Tamandua tetradactyla: one gene and its partner. The protein of the gene in region 2 interacts with the protein of the main gene of each other region in a biochemical or structural test. Links are inferred from orthologs where the notes say so. Each region holds a gene or a part of one and is shown on either strand. Other genes may lie near its edges.

What was found.
Region 1: the proteins of HSP90AA1 (region 2) and TERT form a complex in vitro, tested with the Homo sapiens proteins (2 studies listed by BioGRID). The link is inferred for Tamandua tetradactyla from reciprocal best matches to the Homo sapiens genes HSP90AA1 and TERT.

Annotation. Positions count from the first base shown.
Region 1 is NC_135335.1:49,469,607-49,476,879, forward strand, and holds the start of TERT (telomerase reverse transcriptase), read right to left. Parts: upstream 3,046-7,273; coding exon 2,827-3,045; intron 2,723-2,826; coding exon 1,387-2,722; intron 1-1,386. UniProt on the Homo sapiens protein: Telomerase is a ribonucleoprotein enzyme essential for the replication of chromosome termini in most eukaryotes. Active in progenitor and cancer cells. Inactive, or very low activity, in normal somatic cells.
Region 2 is NC_135338.1:63,505,221-63,512,259, forward strand, and holds the start of HSP90AA1 (heat shock protein HSP 90-alpha), read right to left. Parts: upstream 3,074-7,039; 5' UTR 2,931-3,073; intron 2,301-2,930; coding exon 2,139-2,300; intron 2,065-2,138; coding exon 1,698-2,064; intron 1,452-1,697; coding exon 1,318-1,451; intron 1,013-1,317; coding exon 698-1,012; intron 485-697; coding exon 319-484; intron 216-318; coding exon 25-215; intron 1-24. UniProt on the Homo sapiens protein: Molecular chaperone that promotes the maturation, structural maintenance and proper regulation of specific target proteins involved for instance in cell cycle control and signal transduction.

The sequences.
Region 1 (7,273 bases), on a different chromosome or scaffold from region 2:
TCGGCCCCGGCCCCGTGCTGTCACAGGACACGCGCTGAGAAGGTCCGAGGCCACGAGAGGGTAAAACAGAAGGGTGAGAAGGCGCAATGGACGGCCATTGCCACAGGGAAACCGCGCGGCCCCCGAAGGGCCGTGAGAGCCGCCACGACCGGGGAGCAATCGCCAGGAAGACGGACCCTCCAGTACGCTGCCAAGTCCTCGTCACGGTCCCCGCAGCGTGCCCAGCGCAGACCCCGCGGGAGGGTGTGGGCCGCGTGCCAGCTGCGTAGGGGCAGCAGCTCCGGGCAGCACGGGGGGAGCCTGGGGGGCCCCAACGCCCACCGGGCTTCGCGCAGAGCACACCCCCCCGGCAGGAGAAAAGTCCCAAGAGACATCACACAGTCTCGTGCAGCCCCCTCCCCCTGACCAGCACACCGTGGGGAGAAGCCACCCACAACAGCCCGCGACATCCCACACACGTGGGAAATAAAACACAAACGTCTTAACTAACGCGCTGACCTGATCTCAGAAGAGACGAGAACACACTCGAATGGCCGCTACCGTGAGCGGCGCACATGGAGCCTGGGTGCGGCTAAAGCAGGGCCTGGAGGGACAGTCAGGGCCGAGCCACCAACCGGAGGGAGACCGGGCGCCCCGCACACCCGAGGCGGGGTGAAGGACAGGCTGCTCACCAGACGGCGCGGCAGAGGCGGGCGGCCCGTGCCTCTTGACACTAGTGTGTGGGCGACGGGGGCAGAAGGGACTCCATGTCAAGTCCTGGAGCACGGCATGAACCAAGGGGCCCCCCAGGACCTCGGGGCTGCCTGGCTGCCCTGCAGCAAGAGGCTACCCACTGCTCTCCCCACCCATCGGTCTGGCTCCCACGGCTCCTGCACCCCTCCCGCACCCTGCCCTCCCCGCCCAGCTCAGCCCTAAGTGCGGATCTGCCCGCTGCCCCCCGCCCACCACCCACAAAGGCTCAGTTCCCATCCCCTTCTCTTCCCTCCCCCCACGTGGAGCATGGGGCCCGGTTTTACAGGGATAAACTTTAAAGTCAAGGAGGGGACAGCAGTGAGCTGCCCGCACCCTCATGAGAGCTTCTGGACACTTCTGACCTGTTGCTGGAAACCTGCTTCCACTGGCCCTCTGCATCCTGTTTGCTCACTGCTCCGGCCTGAGCCCACAAATGGGTGGACAGTGCTGGGCAGGTAAGGGCGTGGATCAGAGGGCAGAGATGGCCTACATGTGGCCTGAACAGGAAGCAACTTGCACCCCAAGTGAGGGAAGGGGTCCGAGGACCCAGGCGGACCTCTGCCCACCAGTGTGCGCCTTCTCGAGCCTCCCGTGCTCACAGCTGCATGCCACCGCTGGACAGCCACCTGCCCCGTCCTGGGCCCACCTGCTCACCTGGACGCCGGCGCAGCCAGGTGCAGTCCTCCACCCTCATCTTCCACATCAGTTCCCTCAGCGGCAGCCGGGCGTGCTTCCCCAGCGAGAGGAACTTCTTCACGTTCCTCAGGAAGCGACACTTATTGTGTCTGGAGCCCCAGAGGCGGGTGGGCACCAGCCGCTGGAGACACGCGCGCAGGAACATGTACACCTGCCACGGGCTGCTGTGCCGACGGAGCAGCTGCACCAGACGCCGCGGCTCCGCGTCCTCCTCGCCGGCTGCCTCCGCTGCCAGCCTGGGGGGCCTCTCCTGGGGCCCGCCCCCTGCCCCGCCCGACAGCAGGCCCCCAGCCTCGGCGCGCCCAGGGGACCCCCGCACGGACGTTGAGGCCCGGCGTGGGCAGTGCGTGCTGAGCAGCGCGCCATATGGGCACCGCGCGTGGTTCTCCAGCAGCTCCCGGAACAGGGGCCGCATTCTCCAGTAGCGCTGGGGCAGGCGCCGCGTCCTCCGGGAGGCCCCGCGGGCGGGCGGCGTCGAGGGCAGGAAGATGGCCTCCACGAGGCGGCCGGCGCCTGCCAGGCTTCCCTGCAAGCCGCTGAGCAGGAAGGAGCGCGGCAGCCGCTCGCTGGCCCGGGCGGAGTACAGGAGGAGCTTGGTCTCGATGTAAGTGTCCCAGGGACCCGACGGCGGTGGCCGTGTGGACGAGGACCGGGTGGCGCGATCGCTGCCCGCCCGCGTGGAAGGGCCACATGTCCCCAACGGCTCGCTCTCCCAAGTGGTGGCAAACGTGGCGGCTCCGGGGATGGCTGTCCCAGTCGGGGTATCGCTGTCCCTCTGCATCTGTACCCGGCCTGGGTCAGCCAGGGCAGCCGGCTCATCGGGCTCCCCAACCGGGTCACGCCTGGGTCTCTTGGCCGAAGACGACCCGCTCGCGCTGCCTCGACGTCGCCTCCGGCTGGGGGCTGCCGCTGTGCCGACCCTCTGCGCTACCTCCCCGGCGCTGGCAGATCGCCGAGCCGAACGGACAGGGGACCAGCCGAGCTCGTAGAGCGGCGCCCCGCACACCTGGTAGGCGCAGCTGGGGGCCACCAGCAGGTAGAGTGCGCAGCGCGTCAGCAGGTGGGCCAGCACGTCGTCCCCAAGGCGGTGCAGCAGCAACCCCCACGCGCCGCTGCCGCGCAGCGTCTCGGTGGCCGTGTTGGGCAGGTAGCTGCGCACGCTCGTCGTGAAGGCCACCGGCGGCCCGTCGCGCGCCTCGTCCAGCAGTGCGAAGCCGAAGGCCAGCACGTTCCTGGTGCCGCGCTCGCACAGGCCCTGCACGACCCTGGCCACCAGCTCCTTCAGGTAGGACACCTGCGGACGCGACGGGGGTTGAGGGGCGTGAGTCGGCGCCCCGGAATGCACGTGCCCCGCGGCACGCCGGCGGGGTGGGGCGAAAAGGGCCCGGCGGGTCCCACCTGTTGGAAGGAGGGGGCAGCGGGGAGCGGCCGCGCGCCCCAGGGCACGCACACCAGGCACTGGGCCACCAGCGCACGGAAGGACGCAGGATCCCCGCGCCGCACCAGCCGCCGGCCCTCGGCCCCCAGGCGCCGGGCGAACTTGGCCAGCGGCAGCACCTCACGGTAGCGCCCGCGCAGCAGCGCGCGCACGGCCCGACAGCGGGGGGCGCGCGGCATCGCGGCGGGGAAGGGCCGGGGCGCGCGAGCCGAGCTCCCACGTGCTGGGGATCCAGGCTCCCGCCGGCGCTGCGAGGAGGGGAGGGGCCGCAGCAGGAAGGGGCGTGGTGGGGCGGGGCCCGGAGAGGAAGGGGCGTGGTGGGGCGGAGCCCTGGGCGGGGCGGGGGCGGGACCTGCGCGCACCTGTTCCCCGCCGGGGATCTGGGCGGGCACTCGAGGGCCGCATCAGGGCTGAGCGCAGGCGGAGTCTGGACGCACCCGGCTGCTGCAGGGCGACCCCTCTCAGGGCGTCTCCGGGCTCAGAGGCGCGGCGGGCGCGGGGCGCAGAGTGCGGCCTCTCTGCCAAGAGGATCCGGACTTAGCCGGGGCGGCGGACCTTCGGATGGGGTCCACAGGGAGCTGGGGGTCTCTGCGCCCCTGAGGAGAGGGCGTTCTGCTACTCCCTTCCTCGGAGGCCCTCGGCCCCCGCGCGGCTGGTGCCACGGAAAGGGACGATGGCAGCCAGCCCTCCCTACAGCACGTTCCCGACCGGGTCGGAATCGCAGCCCCACCACGCGCCAGGGTCCCCTTTTCGGGGTCCCCTTTTCAGGCTCCTGCCGTGGTGGGGACAGTAAACAGCAAACCAAAGCCGTTCCTGGTGTAATCTGCCCCACCCCCACCCCCCGGCCAAGGGGGCAGCTCTCCCCTCAGAACCCACTTCACGGGCAGGGGCCCACTGGGCCGCGAGGGAGGTGTGATCCCACAGCCCGGCCCCCCTTTACCAGTTACCCCTCCACCGCTTGAGGGTGCACAGGCTGAGGTCACGGGGCGGGGGCACAGACGGGGCGGCCTCAGTTCACCTCCTTCACGACACTCCACGGGACTCGACTTTAAACCCACACTTGGGGCGGTCAAGTTTGAGTCACCAAGTGGAGACACTGGGGGTCTCTGGAGTGGAGCTGGGAGTTTCGTAAACGCTGAAACGCTGAGCAAACGTGACCTTTCCAACCTGAGCAGCTGGCGAGGCCGTCGCTGCGCATTTACCCTGTCCGGGCTGCGGTAAATGCGCAGAGCTGTCTGGAGCCGTTTCCGCCGTGCGCTGCGCCAGCTCCTGCCTCGGCAAGGCGGTGTTGGACAACCGCTTAACTGTGCGGCGAAGGATTCGCGCTGCTTTGGAGAACGTGCGCTTTCCCAACAGAGAAGTGGCTGCCCCAACACAGAACCTTCAACAGGCGCCACGAACGGGGCGTCAGAAGGCGCAGCTCATCCTTAAAGGGAGCGGGAGAAACTGAGGCAGGGCAGAGCGCCGGCCAGGCCCACGCCACCATCCCAGTGACAGAACAGCTCATCCCCTGGCTTGGGCCAGGGCTCTGACGTGCCTTTGTCGGGACGTGACTCAGTCTACCCCAGTTGGCTGGAACACAGGCCAGCCACAGAAAAGCGCTCTAGCCCTTCCACGGCAGGGACGGGCGGCAGTGCTGAACGCTGCGCCCCAGCCAGAGACAGCGGCGTGCACGCAGGAAGGCCCTGTTTTCAATCCCAGGAGGGGGGCGCCAAGGTGGCCGCCTCCAGGGCGGTGTCCACGTGCTGACCACACCGGGAGGTGAAGGGAAACCCAGCAACCCGCGCAGGGCGGGCAGTGAGTCGCTTCAGCCCTGAGTAAGGAGAGAAATAAGTGGCCCCCACGCCACAGGCCTGCGTGTACAACCCACCCCTGGGAGATCCTGAGGGAAAGGGGCAGGCTCGGGGTTCCACAGCGCTGCGGGGGTCTCCCGTGGGTTTGGGGGGCTGAAGGCGCAGGTCTTGGGGTGGGGTGCCGTGGGCGGGGCTGGTCACGCCGTCCTGGCGTGCTGGGTGCGCGCTGCGGAAAGGGGGAGGACTGGCCGCGTCTCAGCCGTCTGCGGCTCCAAAATGGGTGCCGTGGGACTTAATGGGAGTAAGCTCCCATTCTAAGGGAAAGTACATGCAAGGATGTGGGGTCCACGGCACACCCCACTGTATACAGGGTGCCCATGCTGGACGCCGGACACAGCACCCCCACCCCCACCCCGGGGGCTCACTCCCAGCGCTCTGTTCTCTCACTTGTGGCTTTGAAATCCTTATGACCCCCAGGGAATTGGCACCTGTAGGTGCTGTAACAGTGACCTGGCACACAGCAGCTGGGGGCCAGAGGTCCAGCGACCTCGCTCGCCAGGTGCAGGTGCACAATTGTCCTGGAGGCTTGGGAAGACCCGCCCCTAGCCTTTTCCGGCCTCGGGGGGCTCATGGCTCCTTCCTGCACTCTCAAGCCGATGCCCTCTCTGACCCCGAGTCCTGCTTCCTGGCTCTGCTGTCCACTGCAGTGACCCTGCACCCAGGAGACTCTCCCTACTCCAGGTCGTTTCGCCCCAGAAGGCAGCACGCTCCCAGGTTCCCAGACACTTTCCGAGGGCCCCGGTGTCCTGCACCGAGACAAACACCACGCCCTGGGCTGGTTAAGCACGGGCACTCTGCGGCTCAGGGTTCCGAGGCTGGAAGGCTCCGTCCCATGTGTTCGGGGGTTTCTGGCAGTGCTGGGCCCTGGTGCCACCCCCGCCTTTTGCCTCGGCTCTGTGACCTCCAGCTTCTCTTCGTGGCCTTCTATCCCGGGGGCAGGATGCAGCCTGGCTCGGGTGGCCACACATTGACCGAGGCTGACAGCTTCAAGGGGCCTGTTTACAGTGTTTCTTCTGGGTCCTCAGTCTGCCTGGGGGCTGCCCTCAGCCCCAGCTGTGACGTCTCTGTGGCTGTGACACTGCCTGGGCATCCGCCTGCGTCTGTTCAGTTTGCGTGGCCTCCGGCTTGATCGAGGCTGGGAGCTGAGCCCCAATACCGAGCAGGCCCCCATGTGCCTCCCGCCCCTCGCCGCATCCCCTGGTGACCCCGGCCCTTCTCCAGCTCTAATTTTGTCGATTGGAGAGCGCGACAGGAATGGAATCACACATGGCCTTTGGGGCGGGCTTTCTGCCCTCGCCACGCGTCCGGACACTAGCCTGGCGCTGCTCAGAATCCGTGGCTTTGGCTGTGGGGCCGTGTTGTGTGCCGTGGGGGTGCCACGGCGTGTCCACACGCTCCCCGGCGAGGGCGAGTGGCCTGTCCCGCAGGTGCAACGACAGTGCAGTGGCCGCGCCCGGTCACGCTTCCCACCGCCCAGGGCGAGCGCGCAGGGGCTGCGGTAGGGGAGGTGCTTGCCCAGTTTGGTGCCCCGCATCCCGCTGCCCGCAGCCGTCCCCGGTGGACAGCCACGGCCCACCCTGGTCCGACGACCTGTCCCCGCTTCCCGGCTGCTGGGGTGCGGCAGGCAGCGTATCGAGGCCGCAGTGTCTCGAGGCCGCAGGCTGCCTTCCCCCGGGCCTGTGTCCCCTGGCCACCGGCAGTCCTTGGGCCTCTTGGCTTTTCCCTCCCATGGCCGTGCAGGGGGTGGTGTCTTCCCTGTCCATCTGGGTCCCGTGGACGTCTGTCCAGCTTCTGCACTGGGCCCCTTAGGAATGGGGTGCCGGCAAGAGCGAGTTTTCCTGCGGTGCGAGCTCCACGCCACCGCGGGGCCTGCACAGTGTAGACAGCTGCCCACCAAGACCGCCCCTGCGGGCCTGGAACCAGGCAGTGGCCACCCGCTGGCACCAAGGCCAGCCCCGTGGCCGTGGCCCACCCAGCCCTGGGCTCTGGTCACCTGGAGCAGCAGAGCCCGAGCTCCTGCGTCCCGCCTCGGCGCTGAGGGCCACCCCCCGTGTTAGGTCCTGGGTGCCATGATCTGGGTGCCGCCCCCCATGTTAGGTCCTGGGTGCCATGACCTGGGTGCCGCCCCCCGTGTTAGGTCCTGGGTGGGAGGGGCCAGGCAGGGCCGGTCCAGGCACTGGACGGGCTCCTGTGGACGGGGCCCGGGTGGCCGACGGCGCCCGTCTCACCACATCCGCTGGGCTCAGGGGCCCTCCCGGCTCGTGGAGGCCCACAGTGGGCTTCAGTCACTGGGGGGTGAGGGGAGTGTGGGGGCGGGGCCTGGCTGGGGCCATGTTAGGGAAGTGTGGCTGCTGGAGGCCTCTGCATGGAGGGGCTCCCCTCACAGGCCCCGGAGTGGCCGAGGCATCTCCCAGCTCTGGGCATGGGACCCCGTGCTGCAGCAGGGGACCCCTACGCAGCCTGGGATTGGTTGTGCTCTGCAGCCTGGGTTGAGTCTGTCTTCTGCCTGAAGGAGTGGTGGGAACTTGTTTTTCACTCAATATTTGCGTGGAAG
Region 2 (7,039 bases):
AGTATCAAACAGATTTACACTAACCTTAATGTTTTTAGAGAACTGCTCATAAAACTTCTTGTAGTTCTCTTTATCTTCTGCCAGTTCAGTGAAGAGCTCTAAGCACTTTTTGACCAAATTCTTTCTGATAACTTTCAAAATTTTACTTTGTTGCAACATTTCACGAGAAATATTTAGAGGAAGATCCTCAGAGTCCACCACACCTCTAATGAAATCTGAAAAAACATAGACCAAATGCCTTCAAGATATACCACCCAAAGACAAAAATTGTTTAGTATAGACACCCAAAGAAACATAAACTAACCCAGCCACACTTACTCAGATATTCAGGGATCAGCTCCTCACAGTTATCCATAATGAAAACCCTGCGAACATACAACTTAATGTTGTTCTTTTTCTTCCTGTTTTCAAACAGGTCAAAAGGAGCACGTCTTGGGACAAAGAGAAGGGCTCTGAATTCTAACTGTCCTTCAACTGAAAAATGCTGGGGGAAAAAAGAACAAAACACTAAACACCAAGAGACAGTGAAAGCAGCTTTTACTGAACACTTTAACTGACAGATAAGTACTTGCAGTCACACAACTTAAAGCACTAAGACATAAAAGAAAAAAGCCCACACCACCTACCCTCTGATTTAACCATTTGAGACCAATTACCTGGCTGAGGCATGATAGTTCTGGAAGCACTCAATGCTCACCTTCACTGCCAAGTGGTCTTCCCAGTCGTTGGTCAAGCTCTTATAGAATTCTCCATATTCTTCATTAGTAATATCGTCAGGATTTCTGGTCCAGATGGGTTTTGTTTTGTTAAGTTCTTCTTGATCAATATATTTTTCCTTGATCTTCTTTTTCTTTTTTTTGTCACCATCCTTCTTTTCTTCTTCTTCATCATCAGAACCAACATCCTCTATTTCTGGCTTATCATCAGACTCCTTTTCTTCTTTTTCTTCCTCTTTTTCTTCCTTTTCTTCAGCCTCATCATCACTTACTTCTTTATCACGTTCTTTCTCCACCTGGTTAAAAAAATTACGTGAAATACTCTGCTTCCTAAGACTAAAACAGGCTAAGAGTACTTATATCATAATCTAAGTCAACCACGCAGAGAAACCTGTAAGGAAACTTTACAGCAACAAATTATTTCAGCCTTACTTCTGTATACAGAATTAAGGTCAGAGGAACCCAGCTCCAAACAGGCTTCAGACCAGCATTAATAAACCCTTTAAATTTGGGTCTTCCTTAGTTAAGCCTAAAGACTTCAAGTTCAGCTAATTACATACAGGCGTCCACTACGCAGTTTGCAGTTTATGTACAAACTTACAAAAAGAGTAATTGGATAGCCAATAAACTGAGAATGTTTTTTCACTATCTCCTTTATTCTTCTTTCCTCCAAATACTCAGTTTGGTCTTCTTTCAGATGCAGAATAACCTTTGTTCCACGACCCATGGGTTCACCTTAAAGGAAAAGAATACAACTTTCAGATATAGTTAAGGTTAAAAAAAATACCCATTTGGCTCAAGGTCACCTAAGAGGTCCTTGCCAGCACTTTCTGAACCAGTCCCTAATAGGCAGGGTTTACCCCCTCTCATAAGGCTGAGCAGCAGCACGCTCGGCTCCTGCACCTGCTTACATCTCTATTGGCTCTCACTTTCTCAAGACTTTCAGCACCACCCCCCCCCACCCCACCCTTAGATGCTCACCTGTGTCGGTCCTAACAGTGAAGGAGCCTCCCGCCGATGACTCCCAGGCATACTGTTCATCGTCATTGTGCTTGGTGATAACCGTCACCTTCTCCGCCACTAGGTAGGCAGAATAGAAACCCACGCCGAATTGGCCAATCATGGAGATATCGGCACCAGCCTGCAGCGCCTCCATGAACGCCTTGGTGCCCGACTTGGCGATGGTGCCCAAATTGTTGATCAGGTCAGCCTTAGTCATCCCGATGCCGGTATCCACGATGGTGAGCGTCCGGTCTTGCTTGTTGGGGATAAGATTGATGTGCAGCTCCTTCCCGGAATCCAGCTTGCTGGGGTCGGTCAAGCTCTCATATCGGATTTTGTCCAGAGCCTATACGCAAGAATACACCCGTCAAGCCCACGGCCGGGTCCTCACCCACACCCGACCCTGGAACACAGACTTACGTCCGACGAGTTTGAGATAAGCTCCCTCAGAAAGATCTCTTTGTTAGAATAGAAAGTGTTGATGATCAAAGACATCAACTGGGCGATCTCGGCCTGGAAGGCGAACGTCTCCACCTCCTCCTCCTCCATGGGCTGGTCTTGGGTCTGGGTCTCTTCGGGCATCTGCGGAAGGCAGCGCGCGCTCAGGCCGCGGCGTGGCGCGTAGCCGCGCCTCGGGGTCCGGAGCACCCGTCCGGTATTTTTAGAAACCCGCCCCAGGGAAGAGAAAAATTTAAGGAAACCGAAAATAGCCAGCGGGCTGACAAAGGGATGACCTCATTTAGCGCGGCGATAATCGCAGGGGCGCGCACACCCCGCCAGGAGACGTCGCGGGTTCAGTGCGCCTCTATCGCGCCCCGCCAACGGGGGCGCCCCCTTTCCCCGCCACGCCGCCATAACGCCCCCCCCCACCCCCCCGCCGCCACCCGCGTCCGCGAGCTGGGACCGAAACCGGGAGCCGTCTGCCCGGAGAGTCCTCGGCGCTAAGGCGTTTCTGCCCGCGCATAGAACCCATCCCCCACCGCCTCGGCAGAATATCCCGGGAGACCAAGGGGCGTCCGGAACCCGTTTCTGGGGAGGCCGCGGCAGGCCCGAAGCCTCCGGAAGGGAGACGGGGGCCGCCCCCACACTCATAGGCCGAGAACCGCGGAAAGGTGCTGGGGGCTGAGTCTGGTGCCCCCGGCCGCGCCTCCCCGCTCATTCCCAGACACCAGCACCCTCCCGTGCCAGAAGAGACCCCCAAGTTCCCCTTACCTTGGCGATAGGAACACGCAGTTACCACACCGCAGCAACCCCTGGACGCTGAAGCAACTGGCGCGCCACCCCCGCGCCTCCCTTATATAGACGCGGGCCCGCCCAGCGCGCGGCGCCTTTTCCAGAAGCCTCCCGAACCTTCCGGAAGAACCCTCCCCAACTGCCGCCGCGACCGCGCGCCTGCGCCTGCGCCCTGGCCGCGTCCCGCCCCGAGCCGAGAATGGCCTAGGCGTCCCGCCCCGCCTCGCTGCGCGCTCTCGCGTCGCCTTCTGCGCCTGCGCGGCCCGGAATTCTCGGGAAGGTCTCTGCGCTTCCGGCGCCACCGACCCCCGCCCACCCTCTTTCCTCAGGCTGGTCCCGGTTGTGTGTATCCCTGCCACCCGTGCCCTGGCCCTGGGGTCTCGGTGGGCCCCTGGGTTGTGCCCCCAGCTCGGCGAGGGTACTGGGGGCCCGGAAAATAGTGCACGTGGCCGAGTTGCTGTGAAATTTGCAGTGATTTCTTGATTCTTAGGCAGTGTGCCCTCCCTGATGGCGTAAGCGTCTGCTCAACGCTTGGGCTGCGACTTAGGGGTCCAGGGTCGCGTGTAGAGGTCCAGAGCAGCAGTTAGAGGGTTGGTGTCGTGTTTAGGGTTCCGGGACACGGATTGGGGGGTTGGGGCAGCATTTAGGTGACCCAGGCAGTGATTAGGGGGTTGGGGTTATGTTTAGGGTTCTGGGACATGGATTGAGGGTTCTTCCGTGCCTGCCCTCTCCACTGTCAACTTTCGTTTTGCATGGGGGTGGGGGGCTGGGGCTCGTGACGCAGACTAGTGCGTTTGAGGCGTGTAGGGTCGGTCCGTGACGGGGTGCGGATGAAGGGTCACTAGTGAAAGGTTTAGGAGGCGAAAGGGTGAGAAGAAAGAAAGGTACACTAGGAAATTTAAAGTGGGGGGGGGTGGGTGGGTATTTCTGCGCTCCCAGGCAGAACTCACCAAACCCAAGATGGAGGGAGGTGAGTGCGCGTGTGGGCTTTGGCACAGGCAGCTTTTAAGGTTTGAGGTCAGGTCACTTCTGGAAGGGGAAGGTCATTAGTTCCAGAAGTCAGGCTGAGAGGGGTGACACAGCCTCTGCAGCTCCGATTGCAGTGCCCTTCACGGTTCCCCTGACCTAACATTCCAACCTTTTTGTGATAATAGGGTGCTGAGATCTTTCTGGCTACTTACTGCTGTAATGGGGCGGCGTGGGGTTATAGGCTGGAACCGTCATGGCCAGGGGAGCGGGGAGGCTGGCTGTAGGAATTTGGTGAGGAAGGCAGGTGATGATAATGATGCAGGAGCATTTGGTTGACTTCTACTGGGGATAGTTCCTTCATGCACCCCTGAAGGAAGTTGAGGAGGCAGGGAGCTAGGAGAAAAAAGAGACAGATTAGGATAACTGGTCCTAGTAGTGGGAGGAGTCATGTCACCAGAGGAGAAGAAATCCAGCTTAAGGCAGAGTTGGTTCCTTGTTTTCTGTGGTAGAGATCGTCTCTTAGTTTGTTTAGGGTTTGAATATTTTGTTTCACCAGACCTGACTCGTTGATGTAATAGCAGCATTCCTCTTGGAGGAATATACACGTTCCTCCTTTATCAGCTGTCAGCAGGTCTAAGGCCCGTCGATTTTGAAGAGTTACCTGGGCTAATGAGGTGAGTTGGCGTTGTAGAGAGGAGAGGGATTCTGATGTCAATTCCAGGGCTACCTGTAGTCGAGTTTCAAAGTTTTGAGAGGTTAAAATATCATGTCCCAGAGCCCCTCCTGCTGTGGCTGAGGCTGCAACTGAAGTGGTTAGGCTGATGCCTACTAGGATAGGAAGAAAGGCAGCCCTTTTTGAGCGAGGAGAGGGCAGTAACCAAGTTAGTTCGGACTCCCCATAGAGGGTTAATTGAGGAACAATAGTTACCAGGAAGCATGGTCCTGGGGCAGTGGAGTTAAGGCATGTGGTAAGAGTTCCATTACACCAGAAATATTGTCCTTTGGGGGCATGGGTGGTGTTGTGGATAGTGGTGTTAGTCCGGCACTTGCTATGAAGTTCTTTTTGAGGGTTTTTTATCCAATGTAGTGAGGCTCTTAATTTGGCAAGAAGATCTCGCCTCATTAATGGGCTGGGGCAAGAAGGCATTACTAAGAAAGAGTGTGTAATGGGGTACCCTTCTATTAAATACGTTAGCAGTCCAGTAGTTAAGGGGCACAAAGGACGGCCGTCTATGCCCATAACGGTGACCTGGGAAGGAAGGAGTTGACCTGAGTAAGAGGGAAGGTAGCCCTTGTGTCCACTAAAAAGGAGGTGGACTTACCTGCTACGTTGATTGTTACCCTGGGCTCAATGAGGGTGATTGGGGTCACTGAGGCCGGGTGTTGTCAGTCATTGGTGGCCAGGCCCAGGACTGCTAGCTGTGGGTTAGGGGTTGGAAGGACAGCCCCTTCACGGCCAGGCACCGAGGAGCAGTCACTTTTCCAGTGTCCCTTTTTACCACGGAGAGGGCATGGTCCCTTGGGCAGTCGAGGATTGGGGCACTGGCGGAACCACTGTCCATCGAGGCCACATTTGAAGCACTTTCCTTGTGGTGGATTAGTCGTAGCTGGCTTCTTCTCCGTTGAAGTGGGCCGCAGAGCCGCAGTCAGGGATTGGGTTTGTAAATTCGCCTTTGGGCGGTCCCGGGATTCCTTTTCTGCCCTCTCCAATTCATCACGAGTATTAAAAATTTTAAAGGCCGTGTTTACCAGGTCACGGATAGGGGCCTGAGGGCCTTCCTCAATTTTTCTAAGTTTACGCCTTATATCTTGAGCCGATTGGGATATAAAGTGTGTGACTAAAACAGTTTTACCAGCCTCCAAGTCGGGGTCTAGGCGGGTATATTGGGAGAGGGCTTCTGTGAGCTGGTGTAGAAAAGCGGCCGGGTTTTCATCAGGACCCTGGGTAATTTCCCTTAGCTTATGGAAGTTTACTACTTTATGTGAAGCTTTCTGCTTGCTGGCTATGAGGCATGTAAGCATTTTGTCCCGTCTAGTCTGCCCGTTCCTCCCCGCTGGAGTGTCATCCTGATATTCCCACCCTGGCTCCTGGTCTGGCACGGCCTAGGCCCCTACCGGCATGGTGTGGTAGGTTATATGCACCTGGTTAGCGTGGGCCCTGGCTGCATTGAAAATGCAGTCCATTTCATCTGTAGTGAGGGAAGAAGAGCAGATTATATGAATGTCATGCCAAGTGAGGTCATAAGCATTAGCTAGATACTGGAACTGTTTAGTATAGGTAGTTGGATCGTTGGAGAAGGAACCCAACCATTTTTCAATGTGTGAAAGATTGGCCAGAGAGAAGGGAGTGTGTACCTGAATTAATCCTTCAGGTCCTGCAACCTCCTGGAGGGGACAGAGTAAAGTACTTTTTGAGCGGGTATGGGAGCTTACAGGTGAGGGTAGCGAGGAACTAGCTGGTGGCAGAAGAGCCGAAGCAGGGGGTGGGGGTCATGCCGGTAATGGGAGAGCCTTTGGAGTAGAAGGAGGAAGGGAAGGATAGGATGGTGGCTGGAATGTTGCTGGAGCAGGGGTAGGAAGAGGGGGGTAAGATGGTGGCTGGAGCGCCACCAGTGGAGGAGGAAGACGAAGGCAAGATGGCAGCGGGAGTGCCGCCGGTGCGGAAGGGGAGAGTGGAGGGAAAGATAGCGGCTGGGACGTCACTGGAACAGAAGGAGGAAGAGAAGGAGAAGATGGCAACTGAGATGTCACTGAAGCAGAAGGGGGGAGGGAAAGGCAAGATGGCGACTGGAGCGCTGCTGGAGGGAGGGGAGGGTAGAGCGAGGGAGAGGAGGTTAGTTTCGCAAGATGCAGTGGTGGCCCTGGTCTTTTAAAGGAAGATGAATCGAGGGGGTCAGAAAAGGAGGAAGTTTCTTCTGAGAGAAGTGGGGATTTGGGAGTTTCCTTGGCTAGGAGAACATGAGCTATAGAGCAGGAGGTACAAAGGGAGGGGCGGGAGCGCAGAAGGAAAAAAGCCTGGACATAAGGAATTTCGGCCCATTTGTCATTCCTCTGGCAAAAGTTGCGGAGGTTCGTAAGGATATTAAAATCGAAAGTCCCATCCTCAGGCCAATGAGAAT